Linked DNA regions of Tribolium castaneum. The protein of the gene in region 2 purifies or fractionates together with the protein of the main gene of each other region. This does not show direct contact. Links are inferred from orthologs where the notes say so. Each region holds a gene or a part of one and is shown on either strand. Other genes may lie near its edges. The genes, in order: Arp2 and Cortactin.

Region 1 (15,275 bases), on a different chromosome or scaffold from region 2:
AATGAATGAAAGTGGCTTGCTCAAAATTTAATGCAAATAAACATTTTTTTTGGTTTCATTTTTATTATTATTTTTTTTTGGTTTCATTTTTATTATTATTTTTTTTAATGCTACAAACGGTAGCCAACATGGAAGCGATATGAAGGTAGGTGTATTTTATTGCTGTGTCGTATTTATTTATTTCACAAACCAATAATTTCATAAAACTTAATTGCAATTAAAATCTTTAAATGCGGTATTGAAAAGTGATATTTTGAGTGACACATTTTAAATACAGTAACTATAAATAAAATAAAACACTAAAATAATTTATTGCCACGTAATTTTGCCTTTAATTTCAATGAATGAAAGTGGCTTGCTCAAAATTTAATGCAAATAAACATTTCTTTGGTTTCATTTTTATTATTATTTTTTTTTGGTTTCATTTTTATTATTTTTTTTAATGCTACAAACGGTAGCCAACGTGGAAGCGATATGAAGGTAGGTGTATTTTTTTGCTGTGTCGTATTTATTTATTTCACAAACCAATAATTTCATAAAACTTAATTGCAATTAAAATCTTTAAATGCGGTATTGAAAAGTGATATTTTGAGTGACACATTTTAAATACAGTAACTATAAATAAAATAAACCACTCAAATAATTTATTGCCACGAAATTTTGCCTTTAATTTCAATGAATGAAAGTGGCTTGCTCAAAATTTAATGCAAATAAACATTTTTTTTGGTTTCATTTTTATTATTATTTTTTTTTGGTTTCATTTTTATTATTATTTTTTTTATGCTACAAACGGTAGCCAACGTGGAAGCGATATGAAGGTAGGTGTATTTTATTGCTGTGTCGTATTTATTTATTTCACAAACCAATAATTTCATAAAACTTAATTGCAATTAAAATCTTTAAATGCGGTATTGAAAAGTGATATTTTGAGTGACACATTTTAAATACAGTAACTATAAATAAAATAAACCACTCAAATAATTTATTGCCACGAAATTTTGCCTTTAATTTCAATGAATGAAAGGGGCTTCTCAAAATTTAATGCAAATAAACATTTTTTTTGGTTTCATTGTTATTATTATTTTTTTTAATGCTACAAACGGTAGCCAACGTGGAAGCGATATGAAGGTAGGTGTATTTTATTGCCGTGTCGTATTTATTTATTTCACAAACCAATAATTTCATAAAACTTAATTGCAATTAAAATCTTTAAATGCGGTATTGAAAAGTGATATTTTGAGTGACACATTTTAAATACAGTAACTATAAATAAAATAAACCACTCAAATAATTTATTGCCACGAAATTTTGCCTTTAACTAAAATGAATGAAAGTGGCTTGCTCAAAATTTAATGCAAATAAACATTTTTTTTGGTTTCATTTTTATTATTATTTTTTTTTTGGTTTCGTTGTTATTATTTTTTTTAATGCTACAAACGGTAGCCAACTTGGAAGCGATATGAAGGTAAGTGCATTTATTTACTGAGGTATTGAATTTGATTTGAATTTTAATTGCCACAAATTGAAACGTATTGTGTATTTTTTATTTTGTTTAATATTGACAAACGTTGCTTGTTGTAACTTTCATGCAAATAAAGATTTTTATTGGTGTTGTTTTAATTTTTTAAATGTCTTGCTACAAACAGTAGCCAACGCAGAAGCCATATGAAGGTAGGTGCATTTTTTTGCGTTTTATCTTGTGATGTGTTGATTTAATAGCTTGTGTGCCATATATTATACCGTATTGTGTATTCTTTATTCTGTATAATATTTATTAAAGTCGCTTGTTGTAACTTTCCTACAAATTAATTTTTTTGTTTGTTGTGTTTTTAATTTATTTTTTAGGTTTTGCTACAAATGGTAGCAGATGCAGTATAAAGGTAAGAGCATTTATTTAACGCCAAGTGAAAAAGCTTTGATTTTTGTTTACTATTTTTTCATTTCACAAACCAATAATTCCTTTATTCCCTTCATTTGAAATAATCATTGTTTACCTCATCCTTATATCCATTTTTCCTGGCAAGAATGCTCTAAACCTCCACGTGGTTCTTGCCGGACAAATTAGTTATTGACTAATTTGACCAATTAGAGCAATCCTTAAATATAACATTGTTGACTGTTTTTTACAGCCGTAAAATTATGTCGCTTGTTGTAATTTTCATGCAAATAAAGATTTTTTATTGGTGTTGTTTTTAATTTTTTTTAATGCTACAAACGGTAGCCAACGTGGAAGCGATATGAAGGTAGGTGTATTTTATTGCAGTGTCGTATTTATTTATTTCACAAACCAATAATTTCATAAAACTTAATTGCAATTAAAATCTTTAAATGCGGTATTGAAAAGTGATATTTTGAGTGACAAATTTTAAATACAGTAACTATAAGTAAAATAAATCACTAAAATAATTTATTGCCACGTAATTTTGCCTTTAATTTCAATGAATGAAAGTGGCTTGCTCAAAATTTAATGCAAATAAACATTTTTTTTTTATTTCATTTTTATTATTATTATTTTTTTTAATGCTACGTGGAAACGGTAGCCAACGTGGAAGCGATATGAAGGTAGGTGTATTTTATTGCTGTGTCGTATTTATTTATTTCACAAACCAATAATTTCATAAAACTTAATTGCAATTAAAATCTTTAAATGCGGTATTGAAAAGTGATATTTTGAGTGACACATTTTAAATACAGTAACTACAAATAAAATAAAACACTCAAATAATTTATTACCACGTAATTTTGCCTTTAATTTCAATGAATGAAAGTGGCTTGCTCAAAATTTAATGCAAATAAACATTTTTTTTGGTTTCATTTTTATTATTATTTTTTTTTTGGTTTCATTTTTATTATTATTTTTTTTAATGCTACAAACGGTAGCCAACGTGGAAGCGATATGAAGGTAGGTGTATTTTATTGCTGTGTCGTATTTATTTATTTCAAAAAACCAATAATTTCATAAAACTTAATTGCAATTAAAATCTTTAAATGCGGTATTGAAAAGTGATATTTTGAGTGACACATTTTAAATACAGTAACTACAAATAAAATAAAACACTCAAATAATTTATTACCACGTAATTTTGCCTTTAATTTCAATGAATGAAAGTGGCTTGCTCAAAATTTAATGCAAATAAACATTTTTTTTGGTTTCATTTTTATTATTATTTTTTTTTTGGTTTCATTTTTATTATTTTTTTTAATGCTACAAACGGTAGCCAACGTGGAAGCGATATGAAGGTAGGTGTATTTTTTTGCTGTGTCGTATTTATTTATTTCACAAACCAATAATTTCATAAAACTTAATTGCAATTAAAATCTTTAAATGCGGTATTGAAAAGTGATATTTTGAGTGACACATTTTAAATACAGTAACTATAGATAAAATAAAAACTCAAATAATTTATTGCCACGTAGTTTTGCCTTTAATTTCAATGAATGAAAGTGGCTTGCTCAAAATTTAATGCAAATAAACATTTTTTTTTGGTTTCATTTTTATTATTATTTTTTTTTAATGCTACAAACGGTAGCCAACGTGGAAGCGATATGAAGGTAGGTGTATTTTATTGCTGTGTCGTATTTATTTATTTCAAAAAAACAATAATTTCATAAAACTTAATTGCAATTAAAATCTTTAAATGCGGTATTGAAAAGTGATATTTTGAGTGACACATTTTAAATACAGTAACTATAAATAAAATAAAACACTAAAATAATTTATTGCCACGTAATTTTGCCTTTAATTTCAATGAATGAAAGTGGCTTGCTCAAAATTTAATGCAAATAAACATTTTTTTTTTTATTTCATTTATATTATTATTTTTTTTTAATGCTACAAACGGTAGCCAACGTGGAAGCGATATGAAGGTAAGTGCATTTATTTACTGAGGTATTGAATTTGATTTGAATTTTAATTGCCACAAATTGAAACGTATTGTGTATTTTTTATTTTGTTTAATATTGACAAACGTTGCTTGTTGTAACTTTCATGCAAATAAAGATTTTTATTGGTGTTGTTTTAATTTTTTAAATGTCTTGCTACAAACAGTAGCCAACGCAGAAGCCATATGAAGGTAGGTGCATTTTTTTGCGTTTTATCTTGTCATGTGTTGATTTAATAGCTTGTGTGCCATATATTATACCGTATTGTGTATTCTTTATTCTGTATAATATTTATTAAAGTCGCTTGTTGTAACTTTCCTACAAATTAATTTTTTTGTTGGTTGTGTTTTTAATTTATTTTTTAGGTTTTGCTACAAATGGTAGCAGATGCAGTATAAAGGTAAGAGCATTTATTTAACGCCAAGTGAAAAAGCTTTGATTTTTGTGTACTATTTTTTCATTTCACAAACCAATAATTCCTTTATTCCCTTCATTTGAAATAATCATTGTTTACCACATCCTTATATCCATTTTTCTTGGCAAGAATGCTCTAAACTTCCACGTGGTTTTTGCCGGACAAATTAGTTATTGACTAATTTGACCAATTAGAACAATCCTTAAATATAACATTGTTGATTGTTTTTTACAGCCGTAAAATTATGTCGCTTGTTGTAATTTTCATGCAAATAAAGATTTTTTATTGGTGTTGTTTTTAATTTTTTTTAATGCTACAAACGGTAGCCAACGTGGAAGCGATATGAAGATGGGTGTATTTTATATCTCTGTGTCGTATTTATTTATTTCACAAACCAATAATTTCATAAAACTTAATTGCAATTAAAATCTTTAAATGCGGTGTTGAAAAGTGATATTTTGAGTGACACATTTTAAATACAGTAACTATAAATAAAATAAAACACTTAAATAATTTATTGACACGCAATTTTACCTTTAATTTCAATGAATGAAAGTGGCTTGCTCAAAATTTAATGCAAATAAACATTTTTTTTGGTTTCATTTTTATTATTATTTTTTTTAATGCTACAAACGGTAGCCAACGTGGAAGCGATATGAAGGTAGGTGTATTTTATTGCTGTGTCGTATTTATTTATTTCACAAACTAATAATTTCATAAAACTCAAATTTGTGAAATTTGTGACGTTTGTGAAATTTGTGACGTTTGTGAAATTTTTACTTGTCAGCCGCGCATCGGCACCACGTTTTTCTTCAATAATCTGAAATTTTAAATCCGCCAATAGGATTTCTTTTTCCCGTAAAACACTAAGGCCATCTATCCGCATCATCAGTAAAACCTAATTCAGTGAGGGCTCGATTTGGCTATATCAGTTCGGGATGCCTGGTCACAATCATAAAAAACGTCACCCCTATAAACACAGCCTACTAGCAAAGTGCAGCAGTAAATTTTTTGGGTCAAAAACTTCTATTCGGAGGTTTTATTTGTTCGGAGGCATGATTTTCTAACATCAATTTCTAACATAAACGACAAAAAAAGCGTATTGTTCTATTACTATTCAAATTTCATGTTACTATCAACGTAACTTATTACGTTGCCGGTGAGGAACGATAAGATTTGGTTTCCCAGTGGAAACAAAACAACTGTTTAAAAATGATTTATTCAACTTGCCTTTAAATATACACTGAATGAATTAAATATGAAAATAAAAACACGTATATTATTTAAAATTGCTTACGCCGACCTCGGCCCCAGTTTTTTCAAAACCTTCAAGCCTTGCTCCTCATACTCTTGCTTCGACATCCAAAACGCATCCCGATCCTTCATAACTTCGGCTAAAACTGCTCCACCGATAAAAACCATGTCTTTACGTCTCGGCGGATCCTCAATTCGTATTTTAAACTTATTTAATTTCTCTATGTCATTTTTAAGTACGCGTTCTAGATACAATTGCTTTATTTCACGTTCAAGTCGTGAAGGGAGCCCTGGATACATAGTGGAACCACCTGAGAGTACTATATGTTTGTACAATTCGGGCCTCATGTCAATATCAGCCGCCTAAACAACAAAGCAATATTAAACCAAGCTGTAGAAAAAACAAACCATGCAACCTGTATTGTATTAAAAACAAGCTCAGCGATGCCTTGTCCCTCAACGTTGATTAAATGCGGTTGAAATAATGCTTCAGGGGCCTCAAACCGTTCCCCGCCAACTTTGATCACACGGCCATCTGGCAAAATATAAGGCTCAACCAAAACAGTAGTTTCCAGAGCCAACCGCTGTTCTGTTTCTATATCGTAACCAATGTAACATAATTTTTCCTTCATAATTCGCACGGTTTCAAAATCAGCCGAATGATTAAATGCGTAACCTCTCAGTAGTAATAATTTAATAAGATAGCGGGTGATATCACGGCCTGCTATATCCAGACGTCGGGTTAAATGCGGCAAAGCAAACTCTTCATAAACGGGGCAAATGTGTGTCACTCCGTCACCAGAATCGACAACAACACCCGACAGAAGTCCCTAGAATCAAACATTCATATTTTATTAAAAATAATTTTAATTATGAAGTATTTTTAAATGATTTAAATAACGTCCCTTGGAATTCAGTACTCTATAGGGTTGTTCCATCTAAATCCCACATTAGAAATAACCATTTTCTCCCAAACTAGTGGATAAACCGTTCGCTACCCGAAAGTTATAATTGGCTCTTAACTAATATTTATTATTAAATTTAATTTAATAAATTAATTAATAATTTATTATTAACAATGATAATAGTAATAATAATGAAAAACATTTCGGATGTTAGCAGTTTTTGGGCTCTTCTCAAAAAAATTTTCATGTTTCTAAGCAAAAAATTGATGGAATTGAGATGGAATAAGACTTTTTTTGTTTGTTCTATGAGAATTCTCTTGCTTATAAGCAAAGAATCATCTGTAAGTCGATGTTTCTGGTCAGAATAAGACGTTTACAGCCACTTTTTAAAAAGTTATCTCGTTTTTAAGTGTCTATAATAACAATAGTAATAATAATAACAACAATAAGAACACATTTCGGGTAATATAAGCCGTTTTTTTTAACTTCTCACGAAATTGTTTTGTCTAGAATGATTTGAACTAGAAAAAGTTCAATAATAATAACCAATAATTCTTTTCTGGTAATTATTATTATTTTTGGACCACCAACTGTGTAAACGAACCTGAGCGTATAAAGTGAGTACGGCTTGGACAGCAATATAAGCCCCCGCAAAACCGTACTTTTCGAACATGACTTCGATCATTTTTTCCCGATTTTTCGTGGGGTTCATTGGGGGTTCAGTCAGGAGAATCTAAAATACAAATTTAAAAATTTATAGTCAATTTTTATGATTTTTTGATGTTACTTTAGCATCAGTTGGGTCCAAATTCATTTTTCGGGGGCCAAAAGTGTAGTCCCACACGTGGCACATATCCTCCCAGTTGCGCACAACCCCATTTTCCATCGGGTAATTCACCTCGAGAAGCGATCGCAAAGCGGAAGCTTCATCTCCAACCATCAAGTCCTAAAATTGAAGTTATAATAAAAATTGTAAAAAAAAAACACATTTACACATCAAAGGGCTTCAAATTTACTTACAGGAAGAGTACTTGCAACTCCCTGAAGCGTGCAAAAGGTAGCATTAAGTCAAAAATTCGAGTTTAATCGAAATAATGATCAACAAGCTAGTTTGAAAATCTGGTGATTTTGAGTTTTCACGACTGGCACAGAATGCAAATATTTATACAAAGTAATAAAAATAAAGATACGTAATCAACGCTTTTAAACCAGCTTTGCACCCTGTTGTTTACATTTAAGCCGTAAATCTTATAAACAGCAATACAGTGGTGTCCCATTATAACGAACTCGAAAAATGTGTCTTTTTAACAGTTATTTGTACTTTACATATGAAATAAGCCAAAATAAATAAATATTTACTGCAAAAAAAAACATAAATGCTTTGCGAAACAGTAAAAAAATTATATACATTGTAGTCCGGTTATAATAACGAAAATGCAACAAAATCAGTTCGTTATACCCGAAGTTCGCTATAAGCAGTAAAATAAAAAAATGTTTTTATCAGTTTTTTATTTTGCATATGAAATAAGACGAAATAAGTAAGTATAAATTGTAAAAAAAACATTAACTCTTTCTCACAACACCGCCCCATGGACGATGATATTTCATTCAAAATTTTCATTTTTTTGTGATTTTAAAAAAGAATTTAAGGAAATCTGGATTTCGTTTGTTAAAACAAAGTTTGCCAACACGGCAATGTAACATAGCTTATTCGAATAATATGGAATTTAAGAATTTTGCATCTTTTTTCATGATTTTTATTTTTTTATCTCACAAATAGTAAACTCCTCAAATAATTGGTTACTTTAAAATGTGGACCTTTGGTCCAAACATGTGTAATTTAAATTTTGTTCAAATTGATTAATAAATAAAAAAGTTACAAGAAGGTGCTCTTTTTGCTGGGACACCCCGTATGTGTACTGCGTAAATTTTATATTGGTGCAGTTATTGTAAAGGATGATAGTAAAGCTCAAAAGAAGTGAAAATAAATCAACTTGCATTATCCGAATATTCATAATTTGTGAGATATAGTTTTGGTCGGCGAATAAATTTAAAACCAACAAATACCTAAATCAATTTAGCCTCTAAACCTACTTCTTCAACATCTATTACACTAAATTAAAATTAGCAAAAACAGCCACAGAAAAACAAGTCATTCCATAAAAAAATATAAAAATGTTAAAATATAAAAATTTTGCACCGATTTTTTTGGCGCAGATACTACTAAATTTAATTTCCTCAAATGTCACCCCCTATTAGTCATGTAAACTTAGAAAAAAAGTGCTCAAAAGACGTAAACTTTGTTGATATTGCGTTTTTTTGACGAATTTTTAGACGCTGAAGAGGAGGTTGCACCCTTTTATCCCAAAAACTAGTAAAAGTAGTATAAGTTGGGATAAAGCAAGTTAATTTATTTGACTTCCTTTGAGCTCTACTATCATAAAATATTTGCACAACTATCAAATTCAGACTGTAATTATGTTTAAAAACACACGTTTTTGTTAGTTAAAATGTTTTTTAGTTAGTAATTCAATAATTTGTTCATGAGTCAACACTTCTCTTATTGCTTTGTCATTAAATATTCCTCAAAATTCATTATAAATTCACATTTTAAGTCAAAATTAAATAGTTGGGAAGTTCGCTATAACTCGATGCCACTGTATTTCAGCCGCCTGGTAATTTTTTTAATAAACGTTTCCAAAGCCAGCTTGACAAAAAAGCCCGTCAATCATTTCACGAATTTAGTAACAACGTAATAAATAAACTCAAAAACACAGAAAAATCAAGAAAACAACAAAGAGAAACACTGTTAGTGACCTCTTGTGAGGTGCAACCACTCAAACGAGGGTTAGTCAAAACACACACCTCTTTGAGGCACTTACATCTACATGGTAATCCTAGGATAACAAAGTTTGATCATTTCACCTGATGAAATAAACGAAAAATGTTAACTGTGATTTGAATCATCCTTACCTTAACCTCAATATCTCCGATTTTATTTACAGCCCGTATGATGGGCCTGCCGACCATTGAAGGGAAAATATGGGCCGGGAAATTGCTCCCTGCGTATCCACACTTGACAAACTGTAACCAGCAGTCAGTTTTAACAAAAAAATTGTGGAAAAAGAGCAAAACTTACCCCAGTTCCATTGTCACAAACAATGACTTTTTTGCCTTGACTATCCATGGTGATGCGATTAAATGAACTTAATTGTTAATTGGTAGGAGAAGAGGAGTCTTTAAGCCCTATTTTGGGATAATTACACTAGAACAGTCACTCCAGGAAATCTGTCCACGCCCATAGATATAAATCGAACACATATCACAAATTGTCACAAGTGAAAAAAAGATGAATGATTTGCTGTTTGTTTAAATTGTGTCTGTTTATTTAATTTTGATTAATGCAATTAAAAAATTTGACAAACCACCCGTTTTTGTACCGGTGCTTGTGACATGCACCCCCATACAATAAGAGCAAGAGAGATAGTCAGAATTGACAATTTAATCTATCCTTGTTAGTTGTTAGTGGTGGTCGCTTTTGTGGCGCCATCAACGGTGCCATTTGGCATAATGGCGGAAGATTTAAATCCTTTGATCGAACCCACATCTAAAAGTTGGATTTAAATTAATTTAAAACAGTTTGGTGCCAAGACATTATAACACTCAAAGTGCTCTCGTTTTTACTCCACTGTACTATTTTCTGGGTTCAGAAAATCCTGCTGTTTTGTGTCTTGTTTTGTTTCCTAATGACAGTCCTCCGTAGCCGAGACTAAATAAAATTTTACATAACTCAAAAATTAGAAAGAATTTCAAAAAATTCCATTCCTCAAAAATTATCACATTTGTAACACAGTCACAATAAAAAAATGACGCCCCTACCTTACAGCGAAAGCGAAAAGTGCCGACACAAAACAAAAAATGCAAAAAATTAGACAATGCATATGCACAGAGCACAAATATGTTACAGATGTAATAAATTACAAAATGCACTGAATTTTAACTTAATGACCTGGAACGCACTCCAATGCTAAAAAATAGAGTTATGCAATAATAATATGTACAATTTTGCCACTTGTCTCCATACGCATAAAAACAATCACGTAATGAATAAAATAATAATATACAATGCAATTAAAATAACTGATAATTTGGAACGCGGTCAGTTTGAGGAAAAAATGAACGATAACTCGGCAATATTTATTATCAGTATTATTACGTTAACGTTTGCATAGATGTAACTTAGCGTAATAGTTGTGTTAGATTTTGTTAAATTTGTTAATAAACAGCTGAGTATTGGATTTAAAAAAAGCATTTTGTTCTTGTGCACACTCGGTAGCTCGCACTTTACAATGGTGTAGTCGGTCACGTGACACTTTGGCACATGTTGGTGTCAAATTTGCAAACAAGTCGGTTCATGTTTATTTTGAATAATTTGTGCTATTTTGTTAGTTTTTGCATTTAAACAATTAATCCTGTGCCAGTTACAAGAATAGTTACCGCAATGGAGTTGGATGAGGTAAGAGTGTGCATTTTTTTGTAGGTTTTTTGGTACGTTATCTCCTATCAATTTCTATTTACCTTCCCATTTATGTTGCTTTTTGGTGGCTGTGATTCATTACGAGTGGACAAATAATAATTGTTTGAAAGAATATCTACCTATCTTCCTTGTCAGTGTCAGTATTTTTGAAACGAAAAGTTGTCAACCGGAAATTCAGTACAATTCAGTACAATTTAAACTGATCCTACACACCTTTGCTTACATTTCCTCGATCTCTAACTGATATCAAACAAGTTTTACGCATTTGTCATACATTTATTTATTATACATTTTTCTGTACAGATTTTACAAAGCGAACAGTGTTTCTACAAATCAAAAAAAGCTTCTGCTTTGATTTGTCTCTGTTTTGGAAATGCCATAAGTAAAGCGCTATAAATGATATTTTTTATTTTATTTTGGGTACAAATAAGGTACTGGATTTTGCTATAAGCAGTAGCACTGTCATCTTATGTGTTTGACACTGATAACGGCTTTTTCACTTTGATAAAGTGCCAAGAATTTTCAAGGTCAATAAAGTGCTGTAAATTACTAATCATTTTCCTTATTATTGTTGTTGACTTATTGTTCATGGAGCTGTCAGCTGACGTATGCACTGCCAAAGTGACAAATTGTATTGGCAACTGGTTACTTTCGAAAGCAGGAAAAATTTTAAATGATTGTTCAAAGGTTCAAAGAGTAATACATCTCTCAGTAATTAGTAATAAGCCTGAAGCGGTACATTTGTATGTATTTGTATGTATTTGTATTTGTGCAACAGTACAGTTCCAAAAAGAAAAAAGCTCAAAAAACGTAAAAATTATGTAATTATTGATTTGATTTGAGAAACATTCTGAAATTGTAGTTTAAAAACTCTATTAACTCTTAAAAAAGTACGTCATTTCCGACCAAATTCTGTTTTTTCTTTAAATTCTTGTGACGATTTTGATCACAAACCAGTTAAATTGGGTGAAATAGGCAAAATATTTTCTTAATTTAATGAGGGTGTATTCTTTTGGGAAAGTGATAAAATGCCTTCACTAGTAGTACCTAGCTAAGGTCAGTACTTTTCCTTAACCACGTACGAAATTTACATGTTTCCAAAAATATTATCAGTTTCGAATAATTTTTCTAATTTTTAGGTGTATTTTTCAAAATCTTGCAAAATGGATGTTTTAAATAACCTCGTTTTCAGCTTAGTTTCCTAGAAATAATTTAGTGTCTGGCTGAGAAAGTTAAATGACAAAATATTCACAATACAAGGTGTGTTAATAGTATATTAAGCAACAAGTTTTATAAACGAGATTTTAATCACGAGTTTGTTTAAACACGAGCGAAGCGAGTGTTTATAACGAGTGTTTAGACGAGTTTAGAAAACGCGTTGCTTATGCTATTTTTTCTACTCCCGTAAGGTGAGACAAAATATACATTAAATATTTTTTTACAAAGTAACAACATTTAGAAATTTATTATTAGGTACTTTATACAGTTTATAATTTACATTATTTATTATGAAGAGTAACTGTTAAACTACTTATATTGTTACAATTGTACTGAGTAATGTTTGAACTTTCAGACTGAATAATGTTTGATATTTTATTGGCCGTTTGAATTTTATTATTTAACGAATGATCAATATAAGTTTCTGCAACTGTTGTTGAACGCCATCCCCCATGGCGTTTGAGGGCAGTAATGTCAGCCCCCGCATCTACTAATAAAGTAGCAGAGGATCGGCGAAGGCAATGGCCTGTATAAGAAGTTGGATTTGGTAGTTTGAGGAATGTTGCAACTTGACAAGGAAGACTACCGAACTTATTTATACCGACCGGCTGTCTTGTGCATTTTCCTCGTTGATAATTTAGAAAAAATCGTGTAGTATGTACATCTTGCGGACGAAGTTCCATATATTTTTTGCAAATTCCATAAAAATCCTCCGATAATAAACTGACGTTCTGTTTTGGTTTTTGTGTCAGGAATATGAACTAATAATGCTGTACTAAGATCTTCAACATGATTTGTTTCTACTTTCATTAATTCCTCACGGCGACAAGCTCCCATTATTCCAAAGATTAACCCCACCTAAAATAAAATTTATAACAAAGTATTTAGGTAAGTACCTAATTTACCTTTGAAAATAAGTAGTTTTCATCTGGTGCTGAACACAAAAATTCTTTGATTTGTTCTGGTGTCAAAATTCTTGACTTTTTAGGCTTATACCCACTGGATTTATTCTTGAGAAATGCACACAACTTTGGATATTTACTGATGTCGATGTTGTTTTTTAGGTTAAGTGTTGTTCGGAGCATAGAGTAAATAGCCCACAATGATGAGGGTTTCATACGTGTTGATAATTGTTGTATATACGCTAATAGAACATTTTCGGAAAATGATTCAGTTTGCTTTTCTTGTCGCCAATTTATATACAGTTTATACTGTCTTTCATATTGCTTTTTCGACTTTTGTGGCATCAGATTGGCGGTAGCTGCGGCTGCAGCTTCTTGTATTTCTGGTGGCGTACCCTCTAAACCCACAAAATCGTCTTCTTCACCACTATCCATGTCAAGTTCAATCTTCAACTCAAACCACTATCTAAAATTGCAAACAACAATGTTGTCTATTGAACAAATTAAATTTGTGTAATTTGACATTTGGACCTGCCTCCAAACATACTTGATATAATCCATCCTTGATATTAAAACACTGCACGTGACAAAACAATACTTTAATGAACATTAAAACATCGTTATTCAACATGTGACTAAGGTCTGACTTAGTGTACAAAATGCAACTGCCCAAAATGACGTTTAAGATACGGGAGTAGAAAAAATTCGTTAAAACACATTTAAAGTTAAAAAGTTTCGTTAAAAAGCAACTAAAATCTACACTGTATAAGAAAACACTAATGGCAAATAGCAATGTTCGATGTCTGAACACCTGTCATTAGTTCTACAGACGGAACCAAAAGTAACACACAAAATTCACTTTTTTGTTATGAGTCATTTTTCAAAAAAATGTTGGAACAGGTAGATTTTGTTTTTTTTAATTTTACACCATAATGACATTTCTGACGTCATTTGTTTTTGAGTAATGACCTCATTTTTTTTTTTTTTTAAATAAATGACGAGTGATATCTTTTATTAGTGTTTTAAATAGTACACATTTTTATTTTTCTGGTAAGTATAAATGAATTCAAAAAAATAAAGCAAAAAAATTTCAAAAAGAAAAAATATAAAAGTTTTTGAAAGAACAGTAAAAAAAATAAATATAAATATGCGTATGGTGGTAATGCCATCACCCAAGTGCCAGAGTTTTCAGGTCGCATCTACAGCCTCTGACCTAACGACCACTAGTAGTGACCGGGACCGACGGTCACTAAAAAAAAAAAAGAACAGTAAAACCTCTCAACAACGGACACCGATGGAGAATCTTTAATTGTCCGTTGTTGAGAGGGAGGTGGAAATTTTAATATAGGTTTTGTTACGTTTCTACAAAAATGTCCGTTGTGAAGAGGTGCTCGTTATTTGGAGGTGTTCATTAAGGGAGGTTTCACTGTATTATAAAAAAAAACTTTATGTTTTCGCTCTTGTTTTATTTTAAAAAGGGTGGTTTTATTATTATTTACAAAAAAATATGACAAACAACTGCCACTATAAAAAAAGTTAAGAACAAATTGATAAAGCCCATTATGCTTAACTGTCAAGGTTTTTTATTGTCACTATGACGTGAAAATGTGGCAGCTAGAACAGTTATAATCGACCTGTTCGAGTTTTTTTTTGAAAAATGTGTAATAACATAGATATGAATTTTTTGCGTTACTTTTGGTTGTCTGTATGTATAAGGCGGAATTTTTGATTAGAGTATAGGATGTTTCACTTAATTTTACGAGTTCTGTGCCTGTAAAATGCCACCAACATTACATATTTTGATATGATGTCGATCACAAATTTTGGAAAATTCGATACTTTTTCTTATTTTCTTCACCTCTTCAAAAAATTACAACGTTTTTACTTAGTGATTTAGATAAATAGATTAGAATCACATTCATGCCGTCTCTTGATAGACCACATGATAATTGTGTAATGAAAAACAGACATTTATGAATATTTATGAAATATAGTCTGACAACTACTGTCATGGGATTCCAAAAATTAAATAATTAAATGTGTATTTTTTGTACTTAGTGTTAATCAATGCTAGTGTTTTGTGACTTTCGTATATTAGGCACAGGCCTCGTAAAATTATGTGAAACACTGTGTATATAAGAAATTCACAAGCGACTACATGA
Region 2 (17,148 bases):
GTAAATGAGATAATAAAAAAAATTAAAAAAAGTTAACACCCTTAGAAATCCGAACTATCAAAAATCAAAAATAACCCAATGAAGTGTATTATCGTCGGAAAGCTCTTTAAACTATCTATTTATCTCAGAAATCAAACAACTCATATCAGTTTAAAATACTTTATTATAAAACTTTGTGAATGGAAGCATATACATATATGATAGTCATTTGAATAAAACAGTAAAAAAAATAAAATAAGGGCAAGTAACCCATTAAGTACTTTATAGGCCTTTATAGCAACTCAAGTTATCAGTGTTATCACTCATTGGCTTGAACGTAATTTGCAGGAAATAATCCATATTTGCCTTTGCACAAACCTCTCCACCAACCCTCGTCAATCTAAAAACAAAAAATTAATACTCATTTATCACACAATACAACATTTTTTCTACAACAGGACTTTACGAAAAATAAAAAAAAAATTGAACAAATTTGCTACAGAAAAAAAATAAAAAACAAACCTTCTCAATGTGGGTAATAATATCATCCGGATCGAAGGAAATCTCATCATCAGCCGCCGCTTGATAATCATACAGCGCCACTGCGGAAATCCCCGTATCCACAATTTCATCAGTCGTGTAATAAACCTCCTCTTGTTGTTCATTCGTAACTTGACTAGTGACATTTTCGTAAATTTCTTCCTGTTCTTCATTCACCTCATGATTTTCGCTACTAAACTGAGCCAGCTTGCTCTGATCCAACTGTCCCGGAACAACTCTAACTTCCTCCCGTGTTTCCTGCGCCAAAAACGCCTTCTTCGACTCATCCAAACTCTTCGGAACTCGCACTTCGCCACTTGGTGTCTCCGCTTGACTCGTCTGCGTCAAAAACGCCGTTTTCGACGAGTCCAACACTTTAGGCACTCTTTCTGGTGTAGGCGTACTTTGTGCAGTTTCCTCCATTTTGTTATTAAACATGGCGGCTCTGGCATGAACCGTTTTCTTAGGAGTTGAGATTTTCTCAACTTCTTGCTTCTCCTGCGAACTCTGGACAAAAAATAACACGTCAAAAATAATATACAGGGTGGCGCACCTCAACTTCCATCTTCCGTAACTCGGTTATTAGTAAAGTTGGGCTTATGAAATTTTCTAGACGTTATCTATACGCGCCGAAGTATTTCGGGAAAATATTTTTGATTATACAGAGTGTCCCAAAAAAATTTTTTTCAAAGGCAAACTTTTTTGGAACACTCTGTATAATCAAAAATATTTTCCCGAAATACTTCGGCGCGTATAGATAACGTCTAGAAAATTTCATAAGCCCAACTTTACTAATAACTGAGCTGCGGAAGATGGAAGTTTAGGTTGGGGCACCCTGTATGGTTGAAAAAACTACCATATTTTCAAATTTGGCCCTCAAGTCCTTCGGCTTCGCGTCGCCAATGTCCGGCTTGACTTTGGTGTAATTCGTGCCGACTTTCGCCGGTTCGTCGTTGAAATTGGCAGCGGATTTGTCCACGCGATCGGTTTGGAGTCCGAATTTTCCGCCGAAGCCGATTTTGTGGTCGGTTTGGCTTTCGTGCTTCTGGGGGGCTTCGTGGTGGTCCCAGCCCACGGCCGACTTGTCTTGGCGGTCCGACTGGACGCCGAATTTCCCGCCAAAGCCTTTGACGTAATCTGGAGTGACTAAAGTGTGAATATTGTTGCGAAAATTACGATAAGAAACCTTTCTGCGATTCGTGTTTTTCGATTTTTTCGATGTGATCCCAGCCAACGGCCGACTTGTCTTGGCGGTCCGTTTGGACGCCGAATTTGCCGCCGAAACCGGTGACGTAGTCTTTCTGGGAGGCGTGTTTCTCGATTTTTTCCTTGTGCTCCCAACTAACGGCACTCTAAAATAAAAAAAATCTAATTTTCTAAGTAAAATATTGTAACTGCTAGGTGATAAAATAAAATTTGCTACTATTTTACATGTTATATTAATTTTTTACAAGAAAAAAAAATTTAAAAATTCATAACTCAAAAACTAAAAGCCGTAGAACAAAACAATTTGTTCCAGTGAATTCTGCTGCTCAAATTGCTTAGAATAACAGCCTTATCACAACACCAGCTTACTCGAGAAATTTAAAAAAATATATTTTAAATTTCAAATTGGTGGATGCGCCGGGTTATTCTTTTAAAAAATTCATAACTCAAAAACTGAAAGTCGTAGAGAAATGCGGTTTGTTCCATTGAATTCAGCGGCTCATTTTCTGTATTTTACCAACTTTCAACAAGATCTAAAGTTTTAAAATTTTTTGCTAAAAATTAAGATAGGTATTTCTTATAGTAGAAAATTTTATTCAACAAAAAAATTCATAACTCGAAAACTAAAAGTCGTAGAACAAAACGGTTTGTTCCAGTGAATTCTGCTGCTCAAATTGCTTAGAATACCAGCCTTTTCACAACACTAGCTTACTCGAGAAATTTTTAAAAAATATTTTAATTTTAAAATTGGTGGATGCGCCGGGTTATTCATTAAAAAATTCATAATTCGAAAATTAAAAGTCGTAGAGCAATGCGGTTTGTTCCATTGAATTCAGCCGATCATTTTCTGTATTATACCAACATTTAACGAGATCAAAAGTTTTTAAATTTTTTGTTAAAAATTAAGACAGGTATTACCTATAGCGGAAAATTTTATTCAACAAAAAAAATCATAACTCGAAAACTAAAAGTCGTAGAAGAAAACGGTTTGTTCCAGTGAATTCTGCTGCTCAAATTGCTTAGAATACCAGCCTTTTCACAACACTAGCTCACTCGAGAAATTTTTTAAAAAATATTTTAATTTTAAAATTGTGGATGCGCCGGGTTATTCATTAAAAAATTCGTAACTTAAAAACTAGAAGTCGAAGAGCAATGCGGTTTGTTCCATTGAATTCAGCGGCTCATTTTCTGTATCATACCAACATTTAACGAGATCAAAAGTTTTTAAATTTTTTGTTAAAAATTAAGACAGGTATTACCTATAGCGGAAAATTTTATTCAACAAAAAAAATCATAACTCAAAAACTAAGAGTCGTAGAAGAAAACGGTTTGTTCCAGTGAATTCTGCTGCTCAAATTGCTTAGAATACCAGCCTTTTCACAACACTAGCTTACTCGAGAAATTTTTAAAAAATATTTTAATTTTAAAATTGGTGGATGCGCCGGGTTATTCATTAAAAATTCATAACTCGAAAATTAAAAGTAGTAGAGCAATGCGGTTTGTTCCATTGAATTCAGCGTCTCATTTTCTGTATTATACCAACATTTAACGAGATTAAAAGTTTTTAAATTTTTTGTTAAAAATTAAGACAGGTATTACCTATAGCGGAAAATTTTATTCAACAAAAAAAATCATAACTCGAAAACTAAGAGTCGTAGAAGAAAACGGTTTGTTCCAGTGAATTCTGCTGCTCAAATTGCTTAGAATACCAGCCTTTTCACAACACTAGCTTACTCGAGAAATTTTTTAAAAATATTTTAATTTTAAAATTGGTGGATGCGCCGGGTTATTCATTAAAAATTCGTAACTTAAAAACTAGAAGTCGAAGAGCAATGCGGTTTGTTCCATTGAATTCAGCGGCTCATTTTCTGTATAATACCAACATTTAACGATATCAAAAGTTTTTAAATTTTTTGTTACAAATTAAGACAGGTATTTTTTATGGTGGAAAATTTTATTCAACAAAAAAATTCATAACTCGAAAACTAAAAGCCGTAGAACAAAACGGTTTGTTCCAGTGAATTCTGCTGCTCAAATTGCTTAGAATACCAGCCTTTTCACAACACTAGCTTACTCGAGAAATTTTTTAAAAATATTTTAATTTTAAAATTGGTGGATGCGCCGGGTTATTCATTAAAAATTCGTAACTTAAAAACTAGAAGTCGAAGAGCAATGCGGTTTGTTCCATTGAATTCAGCGGCTCATTTCCTGTATAATACCAACATTTAACGATATCAAAAGTTTTTAAATTTTTTGTTACAAATTAAGACAGGTATTTCTTATGGTGGAAAATTTTATTCAACAAAAAAATTCATAACTCGAAAACTAAGAGTCGTAGAACAATGCGGTTTGTTCCAGTGAATTCTGCTGCTCAAATTGCTTAGAATACCAGCCTTTTCATAACACTAGCTTACTCGAGAAATTTTTTAAAAAACATTTTAATTTTAAAATTGGTGGATGCGCCGGGTTATTCATTAAAAAATTCGTAACTTAAAAACTAGAAGTCGAAGAGCAATGCGGTTTGTTCCATTGAATTCAGCGGCTCATTTTCCGTATTATACTAACATTTAACAAGATCAAAAGTTTTTAAATTTTTTGTTAAAAATTAAGACAGGTATTTCTTATGGTGGAAAATTTTATTCAACAAAAAAATTCATAACTCGAAAACTAAAAGTCGTAAAGCAATGCGGTTTGTTCCATTAAATTCAGCAGCTCATTTTCTATATTAAACTAACTTTCAACGAGATCTGACACTTTGAATTTTTTTGCAAAAAATTAAAAAAGATAGGCAATTTCTATATTGGAAAATTTTATTCAATAAAAAAATTCATAACTCGAAAACTAAAAGTCCTAGAGCAATGCGGTTTGTTCCATTGAATTCAGCGGCTCATTTTCTGTAATATACCAACTTTCAACGAGATTTAAATGCTCAAATTTCCTGAAATACTTACCTTAAAAAAGTAAAAAAAAAATTTTTTTAAACTCACTCCAATAAATTTTTATGGACTTCTACGTGTCTTAACAACCCACAAAAGTTGTTAAAAGTCCACAAAAAGTCCAAATGTTTGATTTTTTGACGTTTGATTTTTTCAATTTTCGTCGCAGTTTTTGTCGATTTTGGGTACCCGGAACATTTCTCGAGCAATAGCTCCGGAACTATTAGAGATAATAGTATTATCGTTGGAAAGCTCTTTAAATTATCTATTGTTTTCAAAAAAAAATATTGTTCTCCGACTAATAGTTTTCGAGCAAATTGGAGACAAATGCAAAATTTGGTAAAATTTAAAAAAATTTATAACTAAAAAACTATTGAGAATTTGGCAATTTTCTTGATGCCAATCGTTTCCCCGGATCATTTTACATAGGTATGGATAAAAGTAGTTCCACTTTTTTGAATAGTTTAGCCGTAATTATAAATTACATAAAATAAATTTTAGTCTACCGTAGTATTTTTTTGAATTAAATTTTTTATTAAAATACGTAAATACAAGAAATTTAATGATACGTCTTGCTATCTTTCCCGGCAATCCAATCCTCCACCTCCTTCACACTCCTCGGCACTTTGGTCAAACTAACAGCCCCATTTTTCGTAATCAGAACATTATCCTCAATCCTAACCCCTCCAAATCCCCGAAACCGCTTAATAACATCCGCCACCAGAAACCTAGACAGTGCCGCACTCTCCAACGCCTCATCCAGCAAAACATCGATAAAATAACACCCCGGTTCCACCGTGATCACCATCCTCTCCTTCAGCTCCCTCGTCGTCCTCAACATCGCCGCCCCCTTCAAATCCGACCGCTTCGCCCCAATGAACCCCCCGACGTCGTGCACATCCAGCCCCAGCAGGTGCCCCAGCCCGTGCGGCTGGAACACGCCCCCCAGCCCCGCCGCCACCATCGCCTCCACGTCCCCCTTCAGCAGCCCCCCCTTCTTCAGCTCCCCCAGCAGGACGCGGTGCGCCAGCGTGTGCATCTCCAGCCAGGAAACCCCCGGCTTCAGCGACTTGAAAACGGTCGTATTGGTCAGAAGCACCGCCTCGTAGATGAGTTTCTGGCTCGGGGAGAACTTGCCATTGGCCGGGAACGTGCACGTGATGTCCGCGCAGTAGCCGAAGTAGTTGGCCCCCATGTCGAAGAGGCACAAGTCCCCGGGCTCGATCATCTTGTTGTTGGGGGCGGCGGCGTGCCCGTAGTGCAGGATGGCCCCGTTGGCCCCCGAGGCGCAGATGCACGTGTAGGAGGTGTGCCGGCAGCCCCCCGTGGCGTAGCAATAGTGCAGGAACTCCGCCTCGCATTGGTACTCCGTCTTGCCGGGCTTGGCGAAGCGCATCACCTTCCGGTGCGCCTCCGAGGAGATGTCGCTCACGTAGCGCATGACATCGAGCTCGAAGTCGGTCTTGTACACGCGCAAGTTGGCGATTTCGTTGTACAAGACCGTGTTGTTCACCCGGAACTTGTCGATTCCCTCGAAGTGCGCCTCCCGGGACAGCAGGTTGCTGTCGCTGTTAACCCCCTTGAGGGTGAGCAAGACACTGGGGTTTAGATTCCGGAGGATGGAGGCGATGTTGTCCTTATGATGCACGTTGGGGATTTGGTACTTCCTGCTGATGTCCTCCAGAGAGGGCAGAGGCCCGCGCCAGATGAGATAGGACGTGGGGAAGCGGGGAACGAACAGGAAGGTTTTCTTGGTGGCGATGTCGATGGCGCCGAAACAGCCGGGTTCGGTGACTCCGAACGTCCACAAGAAGTTGGATTCCTGCCGGAAGACGGAGTAGGTGATGTCCGTGTCGTAGAAGGGGATTTCGTCGCCGCCCTGCAGGAGGATCACGGGCTTGCCGGGATCTTTGGCGTGGATTTGCTCGATTAGGCGTTTGCGGTTTTCGGCGTAGAGTTCGACGGGTATTTCGTAGGTGCCGGGACCGTTCCATAATCGGCCGGGTTTTGAGGCGTCCCAGACTTTTGTGTCTATTTTTTTGAGGCTGTATTGTTCCGAGTCATCTCGGTATGGCTTGTGTGGGCCCGAAATTTTTGAAAATTGATTTTTAGAGGTTTGAGGTTAGTTTTGACGGTGACAGGGGAGTGTCTAAGTGACAGGCGGGGCGACTAGATTTTTGAAATTTTTTTAAAATATTTTCGTTCAAAAATTATGTAAGGATTCAACTCAGAGTTTGAAGTTATACGTTCATCTCTTTTTCTCCCAAAACAAAAAGTACGTTTACAATAAGACGCCTTTACGCCTTTCTGAATGTATGGAATCGATTGAGAAGAACAGATATTTTTCAGAACTTGGTTGGCAGTATGAGAAGAAGAATGCAGGAATGCATAGATAATAATGGCTATTATACCAAATATTAAACTTTGTATAAATAAATATTTATTCTTGATTTGTTTAGATTTTTTTTCTATACAAATTTAGCTCTGGAATTTTTTTAAATTGTTTTTTGACAGAACCAAATAAAATTTTTGTTATTAATATTCATTAAATGACACGTCAAAAGGAATAATCCTTTTTTATGCACTATTTTCAATATGCCTTTAGTGGCAATCAAATTTAAATTCGAGATTAATTTTGTTTCACAAAGCGATTTAAATGACAATTATTAAGTGGAACAAAAATAATTAGTGGTGACTTTAAGGGCCGGTTTACTGAACGTTTAAAAGACCTGATATGAGCAGGTTTAATTCAAGGTTAACTTGACGTTTATCAATACAAAAAATGGCAACTTAATTCGAATGAGCTTTATCCTGAATTAAATTTTAATTCATTGTTAAGTTAATTCGCGACTAAAAAATGAATCAGATGGCTTCAATTTGATAACGTGATCAGTTAATCAGATGTTTGATTGTAATTAATTAATTTATAATTTATTTGCACTATTCTCAAATATGCCTTTAGAGGCAATCAAATTTAAAATTCAAAATTAATTTTGTTTCACAATGCGAATTAAATGGCAATTGAAATTGGAATTAAAAATAGCGGTGACTTCAATTACTAAAATCATTATAAAGTCAAATCAAATTTTAAGCAGTTGAAAAGTAAAATTATTTCGTGTTTGGAAGTTCACGACGAAATGATTTATTGCCACAGATGGTTGCGGTCTAAGTACCTACCGATCCCTCAGCCGGGGTTTATTGGCATGACATTTTCAAATCACCGTGCTGTACGTCATGCCTTTTGCCGCATTATTTTCTTATTTCTGTCAGTTTTTTGCTCCGCTTTACGTTTATACGTCCATGTGTTCTCTCAATCTCTTATTTTTGCTCACGTTTTGTTTCCTTACCTTTTCTACACTTTTTTTTCATAGAAAAATTGTTGCCGTGATCCGGGTTCGAACCCGCGACCTCCACCGTCGTAAGTGGCGCTTATACCACTGGGCCACCGGGCCCCAGGTACTGACCGTGTTTTGTAGATATTTTAACACAAACTTTTTAAATAAATCAACATTACAAACTATATAATTGCAATAATTCACGTAAAACGCAAATACATTCAGTTCAAAAGTCGGCGAATTAGCTTTGAGAAAACATTTTCTTCCACTTTTTTTCAATTTAATTTTCAAATTTTTCACCAGATTTTATCTGGATACCGGGTGTTTTTACCTTTTTTTGTGACTTTCCGTATTTTTCAAAACGCTGCGAATACGGTTAAAGATACAAGAAAAATGTTTAGAACAAATTTGTAGAGAATTAAATTTCCTGAAAAAAAGTCAGCGAGACCATATCTTTATCTTCAACGGTTTAGGCCCTAAAAACGTTCAAAGATGCTTAAGCGACTGATTTTGCTGGTGGTCAAGTATGGAAAAGTGAATTTATACCCAAACCGGTGAAGATAGAAATATGGTGTCACGGACTTTTTTGTAGCAAATTTAATTCTCTACAACTTTGTTCCTTACACTTTTGTTGTATCTTCAACCGTATTCGCAGCGTTTTAATAAATAGGCGACGGTGCCCAAAAAATTATCGCTTAGAATTATTGCGTTTTTTTTGGCAAACGCAGCGAATACGGTTGAAGATACAAAAAAGTGAAAGAGGCGAGGTTGTAGAGAATTAAATTCTCTACAAAAAAGTCCGCGACACGATATGTCTATCTTCAACGGTTTAGGTATAAATTAATTTTCCAATACTTGACCACCGGCAAAATGGAGGAAATCCGACACTTGAGCGTCTTTGAATGACTTTGGGGCCTAAATGGTTGAAGATAAGGATATGGTCTCGCGGACTTTTTTAAAGGAAATTTAATTCTCTACAACTTTCCTCTGAACATTTTTCTTGTATCTGTAACCGTATTCGCAGCGTTTTGAAAAATATGGGGCAGAGTGCAAATTGGTAAAACTTTGAAATTTTTTTAAATATAGTTTAAGATATAATTTTTGCACTATTTTCATCTCCGATTATTGAGAATTTGATGCTCTATCTGCCTGTATTTTTTTTATTCAACTTGTGCTAACCGTTATTTAATTACAACAATTTTTATAAATTGATTGCTCTGAAAACAGACGGTAATGGAACAAGTGCGCCTCTGGCGACATTAACGGAACTATAGAGGACGGGACTTTTTATTTGTACGTCGTTTCATCCTTAGTTTTAGATATCCGTAGGCTGGCCTTAAATTTCGCAATCATTACTACAAGCTGTTTCAAAACGTTGCATTTTCTTTATATTTATTTATTTATTTATTTGTAAAAAATCTAGTTGTTTAAATGCTCGTTCTCGATAACAATGCTTGACCTTATAGCATTTTTCTTAAAATTTTAAATAACTAATAATAATAATAACGCGACAAAATAAATACGAAACAATTGTAAACAAATAATTCAATAATTGAATTAATTGAATAATTAAACTGTGATCATGATCATAATTCAGCGTAAGATTGTTTTCGTAATTTGAGATAAGAGCACGATTGTCCTTATCAGCGTGTGAAAAGCAAAAAAATATTGCTACTTGTACATTTGTGACTAAACTTGACAAATAAAAACCAATCAGACTAACCTTATCTACCCTATCGGCCTGTATCCCGAACTTGCCCCCAAAGCCCGCACTGTAGTCCTTCTGTGAGGCATGTTTCTCGACTTTCGCGACATACTCATGCCCCACGGCCGACTGATCCATCCTGTCTTTCTCAATCCCGAACTTGCCCCCGTACCCAAAAGCGGGATTACTGGCCCCTTCCTCCAACTGTTTCTTCTTCTTCAGCGCGTCCGCCTCCTCCGTCTCCTTCCTCAACTGACTCATACTAAGGCAAACACATGAGACAAGCGAACCAAAACCAAAAACCCCATTACTCTATAGCCCCAGCTGTCCTCCCAGACCCCGCAATGGTGGCAGAGCCCCATCGCTGCTCCTGCTCATTCACGTCATTGACGAAATCCGGGTCTGTCTCCCACTCGTCATCCTCGGTGGGCTGGTCGTTTAAATTAATTTGCTGACCTGCCGCCGCTTTCCACATTTTTTAGGTTAAGTTTTCAAAAAAAACACCAATTAGGCAACACAAACGGAACGAAAAAACTAAGTAATTAGAATTGTGGCAATTTTGTGATAACTGTTATCAACAAAGGCAACACCCGGCCCCCAGTGACACAGACAACTTCGGGACGTTTAACCGAAATTTACGACACTTTCAAACTACCAAACTAATTTTATCAATTAATCAATAATTATATAGGCACTGGAACCACTTCATTTCCCTAAAAAATGTATCATTCGGTTGTTTGTAACAGTACACAACAATTTGCTTTTTTTCAATGATAATAATTCAAACGGTTGGTTAAAAAATCGGGTCAATTGACCTACTCCACTTGTCAAAACGTAAGTAACCTCCAAAAACGTGCGTTTGATTTAAATGTTCCACAAAACCGTCCCCTCTAAACGCCTGCGATTCCCACAACTGGTGCTACTTTCGCGTAATTAGGGCCACAATCCCTTCGTTAAATCCACTTTAATCGACTTTCGTGGCTCCAAAAGCATGACAACTGTCCCTAACCTCAAACCACCAGCTCAAGTAGCTGGGTTAACAACTTTGGACAAGAATTTGTTCAAGAAAAACATAACCGTCCCGTGTCTCATCCTTAAGAACGTGAAAATCTCATCAGTCTTGCCATTCGTGAAAAATTACTTGTTAAAAATTGAGAATTTTAAGCCGGTTTGTAACGTAACCACGGGGGAATCCCACGTTTACTTCAACCCGGAAATAATAGGGGCTTTTAGTGACTTGCCGCCAGAAACGCAAAAATTGCTAAACGACCTGTGCGTGCAACTCGAATTAAAGCCGTTGACTTTAAACTACGAGAATTTTTCGATTGAGGGCGTTTTTCGCGCCGTGCTTCCCCCGAATGTCGAGGGGATGTCGAGTTTTACTAAAGTGGGGCACATTGTGCACGTTAACCTGCGCGAACACCTCGTTCCGTTTAAAGACATAATTGGGCAAGTGTTGTTTGATAAAGTGCCCAATTGTCGGACTGTGGTCAATAAAGTGGGGAGTATTGATAACACGTATCGGAATTTCCAGATGGAGGTTTTAAGGGGCGAAAACGACACGCAAACGCACGTTAGGGAAAATAAATGTGTGTTTGAGTTTGATTTTGCGAAAGTGTACTGGAATTCTAGACTCTGCACTGAACACGAAAGAATTGTCAATATGATAGAGAGTGGTGATGTTGTGTTTGATGTTTTCGCGGGGGTTGGGCCGTTTTCCGTGCCTTTGGCTAGGAAAAAGTGCCAGGTTTTTGCCAATGATCTCAATCCCGAGTCCTTTAAATGGCTAAATCACAACTTTAAAATAAACAAAGTTGGGGAAAATTACTTTAAGAGTTATAATAAGGACGGGCGGGAGTTTATCTTGGGCGAGGTTAAGGAGTTGTTGCCGAAATTTTCGGCCAAAAATGTTTTTATTCTGATGAATCTTCCGGCACTGGCCGTTGATTTTTTAACAACTTTTGTTGATTTATTCTCAAATGATGAGTTACCAGAATTTGGGAAACACCCAGTTGTCGTAGTTTATTGCTTTGCCAAAGGCGAGGATTTCATAAACATTGCCAAAAAATCACTTTGTGAAAAAATCGGTCGGAATGTTGAAGAAAAAATTACCGATGTGTTTCGTGTGCGCACCGTCAGCTCGCTCAAAGAAATGATGAGGATCACGTTCAAGTTAGACCGCGAAATTTTGGTCAAAAATTACGTACGGAAACGAAAAAATTCCTGCGTTGGCGTTGAATCCAAAAAACGTAATACAAACAATTGAATGATTTTTTATTAATTGTTTTTTCTAGTCTGTGATGGGGAAAAACAAGAAGAAGCTCAATAGTGTGTTCAAGGTCGCCGGGGCCAAAAGCTTGAAGCTCAAGGCCAAGGCGAAAGCTGTCAAAAGTGAGCTCAAACAGGTGGGTGAAAAATTATTTTTGTGAGGAAATAGAAAGAGGGTTGTTTCCAGATTAATAATAAAAATAAGGCCAAGATAACGGAAATTGATAAGGAACTCGTCAACTTGCAGGAAAAAGTCCGAAATTCGACCGGTGACCAGAAGAAAGAAACTAAAAATAAAACCAAATTACCGTCACGTCAGAATGTGACGAAGGAGGTTGGTGAAAAGTCGCAAGACACTTTGAAGCAATTGAATGCCATGCAGTTGTAGATCATAAAATAAATCGTTTATTACGTTAGTGTGTTTTATTTTTTATTTTTTAATTGCGGCAAAACTATTTGGAAATCTCGAACTATTTTGGCTTAAACCTATGTGAAAATGAGCCGCTGAATTCAATGGAACAAACCGCATTGCTCTACGACTTTTAGTTTTCGAATTATGAATTTTTTTGTTGAATAAAATTTCCCACTATAAGAAATACTTATCTTAATTTTTTGCAAAAAATTATAAAACTTTAGATCTCGTTAAATGTTGCTATAATACAGAAAATGAGCCGCTGAATTCAATGGAACAAACCGCATTTCTCTACGACTTTTAGTTTTTGAGTTATGAATTTTTTCATGAATAACCCGGCGCATCCACCAATTTTAAAATTAACATATTTTTTAAAAAATTTCTCGAGTAAGCTAGTGTTGTGAAAAGGTTGGTATTCTAAGCAATTTGAGCAGCAGAATTCACTGGAACAAACCGTTTTGTTCTACGACTCTTAGTTTTCTAGTTATGAATTTTTTTGTTGAATAAAATTTTCCACCATAAGAAACACCTGTCTTAATTTTTAACAAAAAATTTTAAAACCTTAGATCTCGTTAAATGTTGGTATAATACAGAAAATGAGCTGCTGAATTCAATAGAATAACCCGCATTGCTCTACGATTTTTAGTTTTCGAGTTATGAATTTTTTTGTTGAATAAAATTTTCCACTATAAGAAATACCTATCTTAATTTTTAGCAAAAAATTTTAAAACCTTAGATCTCGTTAAATGTTGGTATAATACAGAAAATGAGCTGCTGAATTCAATAGAATAACCCGCATTGCTCTACGATTTTTAGTTTTCGAGTTATGAATTTTTTTGTTGAATAAAATTTTCCACCATAAGAAATACCTGTCTTAATTTTTAACAAAAAATTTAAAAACCTTTGATCTTGTTAAATGTTGGTATAATACACAAAATGAGCCGGTGAATTCAATGGAACAAACCGCATTGCTCTTCGACTTCTAGTTTTTAAGTTACGAATTTTTAATGAATAACCCGGCGCATCCACCAATTTTAAAATTAAAATATTTTTTAAAAAATTTCTCGAGTAAGCTAGTGTTGTGAAAAGGCTGGTATTCTAAGCAATTTGAGCAGCAGAATTCACTGGAACAAACCGTTTTGTTCTACGACTCTTAGTTTTCGAGTTATGAATTTTTTTGTTGAATAAAATTTTCCACTATAAGAAATACTTATCTTAATTTTTAGCAAAAAATTGTAAAACTCTAGATCTCGTTAAATGTTGGTATAATACAGAAAATGAGCTGCTGAATTCAGTGGAACAAACCGCATTTCTCTACGACTTTTAGTTTATGAGTTATGAATTTTTTAATGAATAACCCGGCGCATCCAAAAATTTTAAAAATAAAATATTTTTTAAAAAATTTCTCGAGTAAGCTAGTGTTGTGAAAAGGCTGGTATTCTAAGCAATTTGAGCAGCAGAATTCACTGGAACAAACCGTTTTCTTTTACGGCTTTTAGTTTTCGAGTTATGATTTTTTTTGTTGAATAAAATTTTCCGCTATAGGTAATACCTGTCTTAATTTTTAACAAAAAATTTTAAAACTTTAGATCTCGTTAAATGTTGGTATAATACAGAAAATGAGCCGCTGAATTCAATGGAACAAACCGCATTGCTCTACGACTTTTAGTTTTCGAGTTATGAATTTTTTAATGAATAACCCGGCGCATCCACCAATTTTAAAATTAAAATATTTTTTAAAAAATTTTTAGAGTAAGCTAGTGTTGTGAAAAGGCTAGTATTCTAAGCAATTTGACCAGCAGAATTCACTGCAACAAACGGTTTTGCTCTACGACTTTTAGTTTTTGAGTTATGAATTTTTTAATGAATAACCCGGCGCATCCAAAAATTTTAAAAATAAAATATTTTTTAAAAAATTTCTCGAGTAAGCTAGTGTTGTGAAAAGGCTGGTATTCTAAGCAATTTGAGCAGCAGAATTCACTGGAACAAACCGTTTTCTTCTACGGCTTTTAGTTTTCGAGTTATGATTTTTTTTGTTGAATAAAATTTTCCGCTATAGGTAATACCTGTCTTAATTTTTAACAAAAAATTTTAAAACTTTAGATCTCGTTAAATGTTGGTATAATACAGAAAATGAGCCGCTGAATTCAACAGAACAAACCGCATTGCTCTACGACTTTTAGTTTTCGAGTTATGAATTTTTTAATGAATAACCCGGCGCATCCACCAATTTTAAAATTAAAATATTTTTTAAAAAATTTCTCGAGTAAGCTAGTGTTGTGAAAAGGCTGGTATTCTAAGCAATTTGAGCAGCAGAATTCACTGGAACAAACCGTTTTCTTCTACGGCTTTTAGTTTTCGAGTTATGATTTTTTTTGTTGAATAAAATTTTCCGCTATAGGTAATACCTGTCTTAATTTTTAACAAAAAATTTTAAAACTTTAGATCTCGTTAAATGTTGGTATAATACAGAAAATGAGCCGCTGAATTCAACAGAACAAACCGCATTGCTCTACGACTTTTAGTTTTCGAGTTATGAATTTTTTAATGAATAACCCGGCGCATCCACCAATTTTAAAATTAAAATATTTTTTAAAAAATTTCTCGAGTAAGCTAGTGTTGTGAAAAGGCTGGTATTCTAAGCAATTTGAGCAGCAGAATTCACTGGAACAAACCGTTTTGCTCTACGACTTTTAGTTTTCGAGTTATGAATTTTTTAACAGTGAAGTGTAAGTGCAAACAACAGTTTTGAACAGGAAATAAAAAAAAATCGTTTTTATAAAAATATTTATTAATGACAACGTACAGCGTCACTTTTTACAAATTCGAGTCCACAAGAATTACACTCTAATTTTACAACTTGTAACAGACAATTCCTGCAATAATAATGCTGGCAGGGAATTTTGTATAAAAACTGGCAACACCGACAACTACAACACTCTTTCTCCCCCCCGTACTTGGCCCTCTTATTATCGGCCCTCAAATTTTGCCCCCCTAGCGCCCTTTTTAGCCCAAAAAACGCCGGATTTGTCGAATTCTGCATCAAAAACATATCAATTCTGCTTTTGAGCGCAACATTGATCACCGGTTTGCGCGTTTCGGTGAATTTAAGTCCTGTGAAGGGATCGCAAGGTTTACGACCGAACGATTTTTCACTCTCTATGTGTTTGTCAAGCGTGTCTCTATCCACAGTTTTGCCACTTGGTAGAGTCATGGGAATTGCCATAATTTCGCAAGTTAAGTCATCAACAAAATCCTGGGGGATTTTTAACCCCTCTTGTCCTCCCCCCGTTTGGGGCGCTTCCGGGGAACCCCCCATAATCCTCCCAATTGTCTCGACAGTCACTTTGGAGCAACTCCCCGAAGGGGCGCCGAACACCTTAATCGCCCCCAAGCAGGGCACGCTGCGATCGGTGCGAAAAATCACAACTTTGAGGCAGGTGGTGTCGCCCCAAAGGCGCCTCTGATCACTTTTAAAATAACGCAGTTCTTTATCGGGAGTGTGACAAGGGGGCGGTTTAGATTTATTATAAGTTTTGCTATCACAGACGGTTAAACCCGACTTGTCAAAGACCGCTCTGGCGATTGAAGTAAAGGGAGTAGTGGAGTTTTTTGCAAAAAGTTCGATTCCTGTACACTTTTGGCGCCCAACACTTGTCTCAAGTGCAATGAACGAGACACTAATGGGGCACAAAAACTCGAATTCTAGGGCTACAGGGGGGCGCGTTACAGTGTAAGCTAGGAAACCGCGGGCTCGGACAGCCCCGTTTTCGCTGATTAGGTTGGAGGCTTCGTAATTGTCGGTGGCGGGGGCGCTGCTGGACACTTTGGGGCTCAGTTTGGGGTCCAGGAAGTTGTACATACTAAACTAAGCGCGAAAATATCACCGTGGACTTTAAATTTGTGTAAATTAAATTAACTTGGTTGTGAAAGTTGGGTTAAGTTGCTTTTGGGATAACTCCCATTAGCTCAAATTTTTTTTTTTTGATTAAAAAATAATTTAAGGATCAGTAGGGGCAGTTAAATAAAATCAGTTTATTTATTTATTTTAAAACAACACATGTTTAAAGTAATTAATTAATTGCAGGTAAAGTTATTTATTTGATCAAATCTCATAATCCAAAAAAAAATTGTAATTTAGACCGTTGGGGGCACCACTGAGCCCAAATTTGAAAATTCCAAAAAATTCAATAAAAAAGTAAAAGTAATAATAAGTAAGTAATAAGTAATAACACGTGGTAGTAATAAGTAATAAAACAAGTAAGTTTGGGAGGGAGCCCGGGGTTGTCCCCGTGAAATAAAGGCGGGACATTCGAATAATACTCATATATTTCGTTCTAAATGTTTAATAATAACTACAGTAAAGTGTAATAAAGTCTCGAAAGCGTCGCATTTTATCGTCGGCCACTGAAAATAGTTGCTCCTGGTTCTAGTTCGTTGTTGTTGTCACAAGATGCCAACTGTCGGACTTGGTTCTGAAAATCCCCGAAAAAATTTTTTTCTTATTAATAATAGAAGAACAAAAGTTTGCCCACTATTATTGTTTCTCATTGATAAAAACTTACCATAAGCAGGTGACACACAGCAGACGCCGTCTTCAAAGTGTTATGCAAATCCGTATTTTCGGTCCTTTTGCCCGGATTCCAGTCACGAGAGAAAGTGACTTGGGCTTGAGTCCCAGTGAACATCCATGCCATGAGAACTAGCACCGCCACAAGTGCAAAAATTCTAAACAAATCAAATAAATTTAAAAGTTGGTACAAGTCG

What was found.
Region 1: the proteins of Cortactin (region 2) and Arp2 purify together in Homo sapiens (affinity purification with mass spectrometry; 3 studies listed by BioGRID and IntAct, with this or other methods). This does not show direct contact. The link is inferred for Tribolium castaneum from reciprocal best matches to the Homo sapiens genes CTTN and ACTR2.

Annotation. Positions count from the first base shown.
Region 1 is NC_087394.1:25,843,629-25,858,903, reverse strand, and holds Arp2 (actin-related protein 2), read right to left. Parts: upstream 9,964-15,275; 5' UTR 9,644-9,963; coding exon 9,596-9,643; intron 9,541-9,595; coding exon 9,430-9,540; intron 9,354-9,429; coding exon of another isoform or gene 9,339-9,353; intron 7,498-9,338; coding exon 7,477-7,497; intron 7,403-7,476; coding exon 7,244-7,402; intron 7,190-7,243; coding exon 7,061-7,189; intron 6,382-7,060; coding exon 5,968-6,381; intron 5,915-5,967; coding exon 5,591-5,914; 3' UTR 5,501-5,590; downstream 1-5,500. Other genes in the region: uncharacterized protein LOC100142249, read left to right, coding at 10,958-10,972. UniProt on the Homo sapiens protein: ATP-binding component of the Arp2/3 complex, a multiprotein complex that mediates actin polymerization upon stimulation by nucleation-promoting factor (NPF).
Region 2 is NC_087400.1:1,541,822-1,558,969, forward strand, and holds Cortactin (src substrate cortactin), read right to left. Parts: upstream 10,348-17,148; 5' UTR 10,177-10,347; coding exon 10,013-10,176; intron 9,964-10,012; coding exon 9,720-9,963; intron 6,784-9,719; coding exon of another isoform or gene 5,221-6,783; exon of another isoform or gene 5,173-5,220; intron 1,872-5,172; coding exon 1,706-1,871; intron 1,657-1,705; coding exon 1,376-1,656; intron 1,027-1,375; coding exon 502-1,026; intron 380-501; coding exon 299-379; 3' UTR 146-298; downstream 1-145. Other genes in the region: tRNA (guanine(37)-N1)-methyltransferase, read left to right, coding at 10,693-11,950, 11,996-12,030; Ubox5 (U-box domain containing 5), read right to left, coding at 15,173-16,243.